Sus scrofa: one gene and its partner. The protein of the gene in region 2 binds, or shares a complex with, the protein of the main gene of each other region. Links are inferred from orthologs where the notes say so. Each region holds a gene or a part of one and is shown on either strand. Other genes may lie near its edges.

Region 1 (3,813 bases), on a different chromosome or scaffold from region 2:
AGTCCTCAACTTGGGCCAAAAAGGACAGGATTGGAAAGAGACAGACCTGGGTTAAAATTTGAGCTGCGATTTCTCCTATTTGATCTTGCTGAGCTCCAGTTTCCTCATCTCCAGAGTGGCCATGAAGCCACCTACCTCGGTGAGGAATTAAAAGGGAGAGTAAGTCAGATGCCAGCTGGTGTCTGCATTACCAGGAGGTGTTGAATAAATGTACCTGCTCTCCTATTAAACATATGAACTGCTTCTGTTAGCCTTCTTCAGCAACCATTTGATGGCTGCAGGATCCAAAGACACTCTTCCTTTCTTAACAGTGATCATTTTTACCCAGTTTAATAAGCCAGACACTGGTTCAGTGGCATTACCTCTATGAACTCAATCCTCACCACAAGCCAGTGATGGAGGTACCATTAGCCTCATTTTACAGATGAAGACACTGAGGCACAAAGTTTAAGTAACTTGTCCAGATTCAAACAGATGGCACCAGAGCCATCGGCATGGCTCCCCAGTCTGTCCTCAGAACCATGATGAAGGAGTGCATATGGGGGTCCACTTGTTTCAGCTTCCATGCTCAGATATAATCCCTTCTAGAGATAAGCAGCAGATGCTCTCATCAATTATAATGTGTTGACTAACTTTGCAACTTTTGAAATAACATTTTGTGTATTTTCTTAGACTTCCTTAAAAAACGATGATATGTTTTTAAATGAGGTGCCTCTAACTAGTTCATCTTGTTCCATGTGCTAGAATACCATAAATAAATGTGCTTCTTTTTGTCGAGATTACGTAAATAAACCTTACACTAAAACACAACCCTGAGTTTTTGGTTTCAACGTTTATTACAAGTCCAAATTTTTAAAAAGATATATTAGGCCAGTCTTAATGTTATTTGTTTTGTTAAACTAATGACTTCCATACCAAAAAAAACCTGAAGTCTCCTTATTTCTAATATTCTCTGTCTTAACAGTCACAGCAGTACCTCGTGGTATTTCAAAGTATTCCTTGTACAAATTTAATCAACTCCAATATTAAACATCAGTGATGATAATCTATTGTTCTGCTTAAAAGAAATCTCTGGGGGACAGATGAGAGAGAAAGGTTAAAGAATTCTATCCTTCAAAGAAGGCCAGGGCAGCTACCTATAAATCATGCTCTTTGTTTATTAAGATAATTAAGCCCATCAGAACACTTAACTTTCAGACTCAACAACTGCCTGGTATGAACAATTTCCACTTTTTCTAAAACAAAAGGGATGTGTTCAAAGGGTCCTCTGCAAGCTCCCTGCACAATGCCTGCTATTTTAAAACATGATTTATGTGTCTAATTCCTGGAGCTGCCTTGAAAAATATACTGGGTTTTTCCTCGAACGCTCCCTATTAGGAGAAGACACTCCAATCCGAAGAGTGCACTCTGTTTCAGACTACAGGGCGCTATATCATGTCAGCATTTTCATTAAATACATTCAAGCTGGACTTTAAACAAATGGAATGAAGAGCCACAGCTGCAGCCACTGCAGAGAGTCACAGTTATCCTGCCGAGAGGCTTACATAAGAGGTGCAGGACAGTCAGGGTGAGACCCAAGTGTCATCATCTCAATTCCACTGCTTTGAGACTTGCCCACATCCTTACAGTGTATGAAATCACATACACTGCGCCGATTTCTCATTTTATCTGCCTTATGGCGCAAAAGTCTGGGTTGATATATAAGTTGTTTTTCCTTGAAGGATTGGGCTCCAATTACGGAAACGGTGGCAACTTCTGCCTAGGGGGAAGAGTAAAGTGGGATGTGCGCGGGAAGCCGGGAAGCCTGGAAGCCTGGAAGCCTGGAAGCCTGAGAAGGAATGACTTAGCTCCCATCCCCAAAGAGCGAATGCACCCAGGAATATTACTGGAGTCACTCCCCTGGGGACCTGGGATGGAGGTGACAAGAACCGCCCCCCCCCACCCCGCACGCTCTCTCTCTCACACACACACACACACACACACACACACACACATTCAATGGGGTCGGAATGTGCAATCAGCAGCAGGCGAAATGCCCTCGGAGCACCTGTCCTCTCACAGCACATTTCCAACTGGCACGTTCAGCAAAGGCTGGAGCCAGCCCGCGCTGCACCGCTGCCTCTCCCCGCGCGCTCTGTCCACGGCTTCGCACCCTGAACTCCCCAAGCTGGAACCCTGCTAACAAGAGGGGCCACCCCCGGCTTCCCACGGCGTGAAGATAGTAAAAGCGAACCTCCCCTTCCCACGGCGCTCTCCAACTTCAGAAACTACAGTCAACTTACTGGGACGCAGGCGATAGGGAGCCTTCTTCGGGGGGACCCGCGCTCCGGCTGTGCACAGCCTGGCTGGCTCCGCACTGCCCCGGCGGCGGCCAGTGCGGGGAGAGGCGCTGGCGCTCTGCACCAGCTGCCTGGGCTCCGAGATGCCCGGAGCCCAACACTCGCCAAGGCGCACCGCGCGGCGGCGGCGACAGCGACAGAGGCTGCACCCGGCCGCGCAGTCCCGAGCGCTGCAGCTGCCCCAGCCCTGGAGTGCGGCGCTCCGAGCCCCTGGTGCGTGTCTCCTGCTCCCAGGGAATCGCGACTCAACAAGGAAGGCGGTCAAGGAAAAAACCGAAGAGCTGTTGCAGGGGGTAGAGCTGCCAGCCCGTTCCCCAGCGATCCGTCACACAGCCCGCGCGCCGGCGGGCGAGCGAGCGAACAAGCTGGCGGACAGGCACCGCAGTCGGCACTCGCCTCGGCGCCGCGGAGAATGACAAGCGCCGAGGCGGTGCAGCGGTGCGGGGCGCCGGGCGCGAGTGCGCATGAGCCCGGCCCGCTGCGGCACGTCACCGAGGAGGGCGGGGCGGGGAGGGGGCGAGCCGGGCGGGGCTGGGTGGGGGTGCGGGGCGGACCCGGGCGCGGCGTCCTGCTCCCTCTCGGGGAGATACAGGAAGTCTCCCGCCCAGGGTTTTGTGAACCTCAAGCTGTGTGGTTGAACTTGTTTGTCACCAGAGTTCATTGTCCTTTCAAAACCACTGTTTACTCTAAGAGATTTTTAGGGCGCGGAGGGCCAGCCCACAAAAGCCAATTTAACTCAGGTTGTTTAGGGGACAATGTACCTTGGCTGTACATTAAAATAATTTAGGGAGGTCTTAAGAGCCCTTTTGCCCTGGCCGCACCCCAGAATCTGGACTAGTAAGTAAGTACCTGAGACTCTCAGGATGGGGCCCAGGTACCATTAGGTGGTAAAGCTTCCCAGGTTAATACTGGGGTTCAGCAAAGTTTCTCAAACTTTTAATGTATGACAGAATCTTCTGGGGATTTTGTTAAAAAGTCGGGTTCTGATTCAGTAAGTTGGGGTGCAAGGGGAGATTCTTCATTTCTAACAAGCTTTCAGATGATGCCAGCGCTGCAGGTCCAGACCACCTAATCTTTGCTTCTGTAAGTGTGGTCTAGAATCTGGAGCAGAGCTCCTGGTCTGCGCAAAAATCACCTGAGTAGCTTTTTTTTTTTTTTTTTTTTTTTAAATGCAGAGCATATTCCTAGGCCCTACCCACACTGGTTGCAGTTCAACCGCTGGGCAAAGCTGGGGTTCTGGAATTCCATTCCTAAGGAGGACTCAAGGTGATCTGATATAAGTGTTGTCTGAATCAAACTTGAGGATATTAGATTAGCACCTAGGAGCTGGGAATAGACTTTTGCAGGGAAAAGCACCAAGCCTGGTGTACAACTCAGGACATCTGACTCCAAGTCCAACAAGTAATGCATAACAATTTATCTGAGTAGTGCAAATATTACTCATTACTTAGTAGGAAGTATCTATAAATCATTT
Region 2 (3,905 bases):
GCCCAGAACTGGACCCAAGCTGTCCTGCCCGCTCAGGCTTGTGGGGGCAGCCACGTCACTCTGCAGGCCCTGGTCCTCTGTTTCTGTCTCTGCCTGCAGTCTGGTCTGCTCTGGGGTGGCTCAACCCCTTGGGGCCTGGTGTCCCCTGCAGTGGTGCTGGGGACCATCTTCTGGTCCTTCTCTGTCCCAGACCCCCGACGCAGAGAGAAGAGCAAGGAGGAAGGCACCAAGGTGGCCAGATAAAAAGGGAATCCCTGCACATATGTTTGCCAGAAGACAGACCCCTAGTTTCTACAAGGGCCTCGGGACCCCAGGCTGCACTCAACAGTTGGTATAAAGGCACCCAATGATGTCAGGCTTCAGCCCCAGACCCTCAGGCTGGAAAGGAAGTTAGGGTTGGGTGAGGGGAGCCTCACCGGCCCACCACATCTGTATCCCCTCCACCATGCATGTCAGGGCAACCGGAAACAACTCTAAATCAAGGGCAGAGGCCTAAGCAAGACAAAACTGCCAGATGCCCCGAGGGGCCCCAGATATGGCTCAGTATCCTCCAGGGAACCTCCCACACTTCCAGGAGCCAGAGGATGCTGCCACAGTCCCAATCTTCTTCCTGCTGCCTTCACCCTGTTCCTGCGGGGCCCCACCGAGAAAGACATTGGGACCATCAGGGTGTGGGGAGCTTGGAAGAGACCCCCTGGGTGTGCTCGCTCTGACAATGCTCCTATGCCAAGGCTATACGAGGCTTGCTCCCTGTGGACACAGGGCTCTCACATTCTGCATCCAGATCCATTCATGCTCCTATACCAGCTGGGCCAAAGGGTCAGGAATGACGATCAGGCTGTTTCAGCTCAGCACCAGGGCTACACCCCACGGGTGCCCCCGCATGCCACTTCCCGTCAGTAAGACCCAGCCTCAAGCACCAGAGGGAAATCCCATGGGCAGTGCTGATTCGGTCTGAGCCCAGACCCAGGCAGAACCGTCACCGGAAGCCCTCTCCCTCCTCTCTAGCCCTCTGCAGGGGAGCACGTGCTCACCCCACAAGGTCCCATGGGCCAGGCTGGGGGCTTATGGCCCCAGTGGGTAAAGGCTTATGCCTGGTTTCCCTGTACCCATAGCAGTCCAGGTGTTGTGGGGTGGTGGTGGGAGGGGATGGATGACGGAGGGACAGACAGCCTAACTCTGCCAAAGGCCTGGGATAGCAACTTCCCCCTTTGAGCCTCAGCCCCCCAGCCTACAAAATGGGAGGGGAGGTGAACCCTTAGTTAAGCTCCAAGGATCTGGTAGCTGGACACACCCCTTCCTGACAACTGGCCTGGCCTCCAACGAGCCTGGGAGAACAGAAAGGGCTGACCAGGACGCTAGGAGGTGGGGACCCACCTCCTAATGCCCAGTGTCACCTCCACCGAGGCCAGAGGCCCTGCCTAGTTTCCCACCCAAGGGTCAGATGTCCCTGGGCTTAGGCCTGGTCTTCTAAAAGTCCGAAGATGATAAGCTCAACCTCTGGCAGGCTCAAGGGAGGCGGCTGGACCCTGGGCCTCCGCAGAGGGAATGAAGGAGGGGTCAGAACCAGGCAGGCCAAAAAACCTGCAGGCCTGCAGGGAGGCCCTGGGCAGGGAATGGCAAACAGCCCATTCTCCTGGGCTCTGGTCCACGCTGACCCCTTCCCCTCCGCTCCAGCCAGCCCCAATACGGGGAAAGGACAGACTCCGGGTGGCCTGAGACAAGTCTGAGGGGCTGGGAGGGCAGTACCTCCCTCGTGAGCCCCCCTCCCAGACGGGCTGACAGTGACTCCCGGGAGATTTCGAACCCGGGAAGGAGGGGGTAAGGGAGTGGGGGATGGGTGTGGACGCCACGGCAGCTGCAACAGAAGCAACAGAAGCGGGACGTACAACCTCCACCCGTCTTCCCCTTGGGAAGCACTCGGACGCCCACCTCCTTCAGGGCCTGCCAGACACTCACCTTTTTCGGGGCACTGCGGTCCGGGCCACCTCGCTGCGGGCAGCATCAGCGGCCTGCGGGACGGTCCATGCGGCCAGCCGAGAAGGGAGGGGCGCAGGGGTCCCCGGGGGGTGCGGTACAAAGAGGTCTGGGTGCGAAAGGAGGGGGAGGAAGGACGGCCAGACAGAGGCAGGGGGATGGCTGCGCGGCCCGGGTCGGGGAGGGAAGAAAGGCGGGGGAAGGGGGGCGGGAGGGACTCAGGGGGAGGAAACAATGTAGCCGGTGAGGCCCCGGCAGAGTTCCGCTTCCAAACGCCGACACCAAGGCTCGATCTGGGGACGTCGCGCCGGCTGCCCCGGGCTGCCCCGGACGCTGGCTCGGGGGCCGCAGGGTCTCTCCACGTTCCACGCCCCGGAGACTCCTGCGGCCAGAGGCTGCCTGGAGCGGGAGGGACGGCTGGCCGGGGGATAGCCCCGACGGCGGCGCTGCCGGGCGATGGCCCAGCTCGGACCCCACCCCGGCAGGACCTCCGGACAGGGTGCGGGGTGGGGCGGGAGCGAGAGGGCGGCGGCGGTCTCAGCGGCGGCGGCCAAGCTCGGCTCGCCCTGGGCTCCGCTGGGAGGAAGCTCGCAGGCCTGGCGAGAGGAAGCGCGGCCCCGGATCCTCCGCCCGCGGCAGCGCGCCTGCGCGAGGGAGCCAGCCGGGAGCACGGCGGGGCGTGGGCTGGCGGGAGGACAGCGCCCTCTGTCGGGATCCCGGGGCACTGCGGGGGGTGTGTCCGCGCCCAAGCCCTGCCCCCACCTGCCCGCCCGCGTCGAAGGCTTCAGAAGGTCCCTCACTGAGGGCCGAACAGTCCGCCTTGGAGCAAACGCCAAAACTTCCCTGGGGAACAGCTCTCCCTATGCAGAAGCGACCTCCTTCTTCTCGTATCTTTTTGTGGAGAATGGGTCTCGCTCGCAGCAGCATTCATTCATTCATAGGTGTTTCCTGGCGCTGATGTTGCGACAGGCCCTGTAATGAAGACCGCTTCATTACTGCCAAGGAGTTCCCAGAACTGGCAGGCCAGCAGACAAGCGCTAAGAAATAATTGATAAAAGTGAAGAAGTGTGTACAGGTCCACAAGAAGCAGAAAAGAGGGAAGGGTAATGGGCAATCTTCATAAAGCTGGGACCCCAGGCAGAAGGAACAGCATGGACAAAGGTAGGGAGAGGTGAGAGCCATTTGGTGGCTCTGGGAACTGTAAATAGCTCAGTATGGCTGCAGTTTGCAGTGTGGGTCCAGGAGAGTCCTGGGAGATGGCGTCCCCGACAGCCGCGGAGACAAAAGAGATCCAAAAAGACTGATGGGACTTTTCTTGGACTTTGTTTTCGAAAAGCCTGGCAGCAATGAGGAAGTTGTCAGTAGCTATGTGACCTTGGGAAAGTTACTTAACCTCTCTGGGCTCTAGTTTACCAAACAGGGAAAGTAACAGCACCAACTTCTTAAGGTTTTGTGGGGAGGAAATGAGTTAATACATTTAAAGAGCTTAGCATGCAGTGGCAGGCACATGGTCAGTCCTTAGCCAAGTATTGCCTGTTATTATATATTACAGTTAACAGGATGTCATCTGCTCTGAGCTACAGGAGCTGATGTGCATGTGGGGGGGGGGGGGAGCATACAGTTTTGGGGGCAGGGCAGTGATGGTGGAAAGACCAGAGACTCCAGTGTAGGTGGGGGTGGGGGGGCACTATCCTAGGGACTGGGCCCTGAAGGAAGAGTCTGGTTTGGGTGGGCAGAGGGGAGGGGCATACTGTGGTGGGGGAAATGAGGTGTACTTGCAAAGTCTTGAAATTCAAAATAAGTGAGGGGCTAGGGACTGAGAGGGACAGTAAAGGGCCCTGTGGGAGAGTGAGCTGAATGTGCAGTGTGGCTGTACATTGCACAGAGAGGAGTTGGGTTTGCCTCCCGAGACAGACCACAGAATGGCC

Evidence for each region.
Region 1: the proteins of CSK (region 2) and PAG1 are in contact, whole or in part, in an NMR structure (PDB 2RSY), measured with the Rattus norvegicus proteins. The link is inferred for Sus scrofa from reciprocal best matches to the Homo sapiens genes CSK and PAG1. Residues at the interface, in NP_001025210.1 of Rattus norvegicus: Thr88, Arg89, Glu93, Arg107, Ser109, Thr110, Asn111, Tyr112, Thr117, Cys122, Glu123, Lys125, Val126, Glu127, His128, Tyr129, Arg130, Ile140, Asp141, Tyr156, Asp161, Gly162; in NP_071589.1 of Rattus norvegicus: Phe291, Ser292, Leu294, Tyr296, Lys297, Ser298, Arg299, Glu300, Glu301, Leu305, Ile310, Met313, Tyr314, Ser315, Ser316, Val317, Asn318, Lys319.

The regions. Positions count from the first base shown.
Region 1 is NC_010446.5:55,449,812-55,453,624, reverse strand, and holds the start of PAG1 (phosphoprotein associated with glycosphingolipid-enriched microdomains 1), read right to left. Parts: upstream 2,802-3,813; 5' UTR 2,283-2,801; intron 1-2,282. UniProt on the Homo sapiens protein: Negatively regulates TCR (T-cell antigen receptor)-mediated signaling in T-cells and FCER1 (high affinity immunoglobulin epsilon receptor)-mediated signaling in mast cells.
Region 2 is NC_010449.5:58,752,701-58,756,605, forward strand, and holds the start of CSK (c-src tyrosine kinase), read right to left. Parts: upstream 2,335-3,905; 5' UTR 1,960-2,334; intron 1-1,959. UniProt on the Homo sapiens protein: Non-receptor tyrosine-protein kinase that plays an important role in the regulation of cell growth, differentiation, migration and immune response.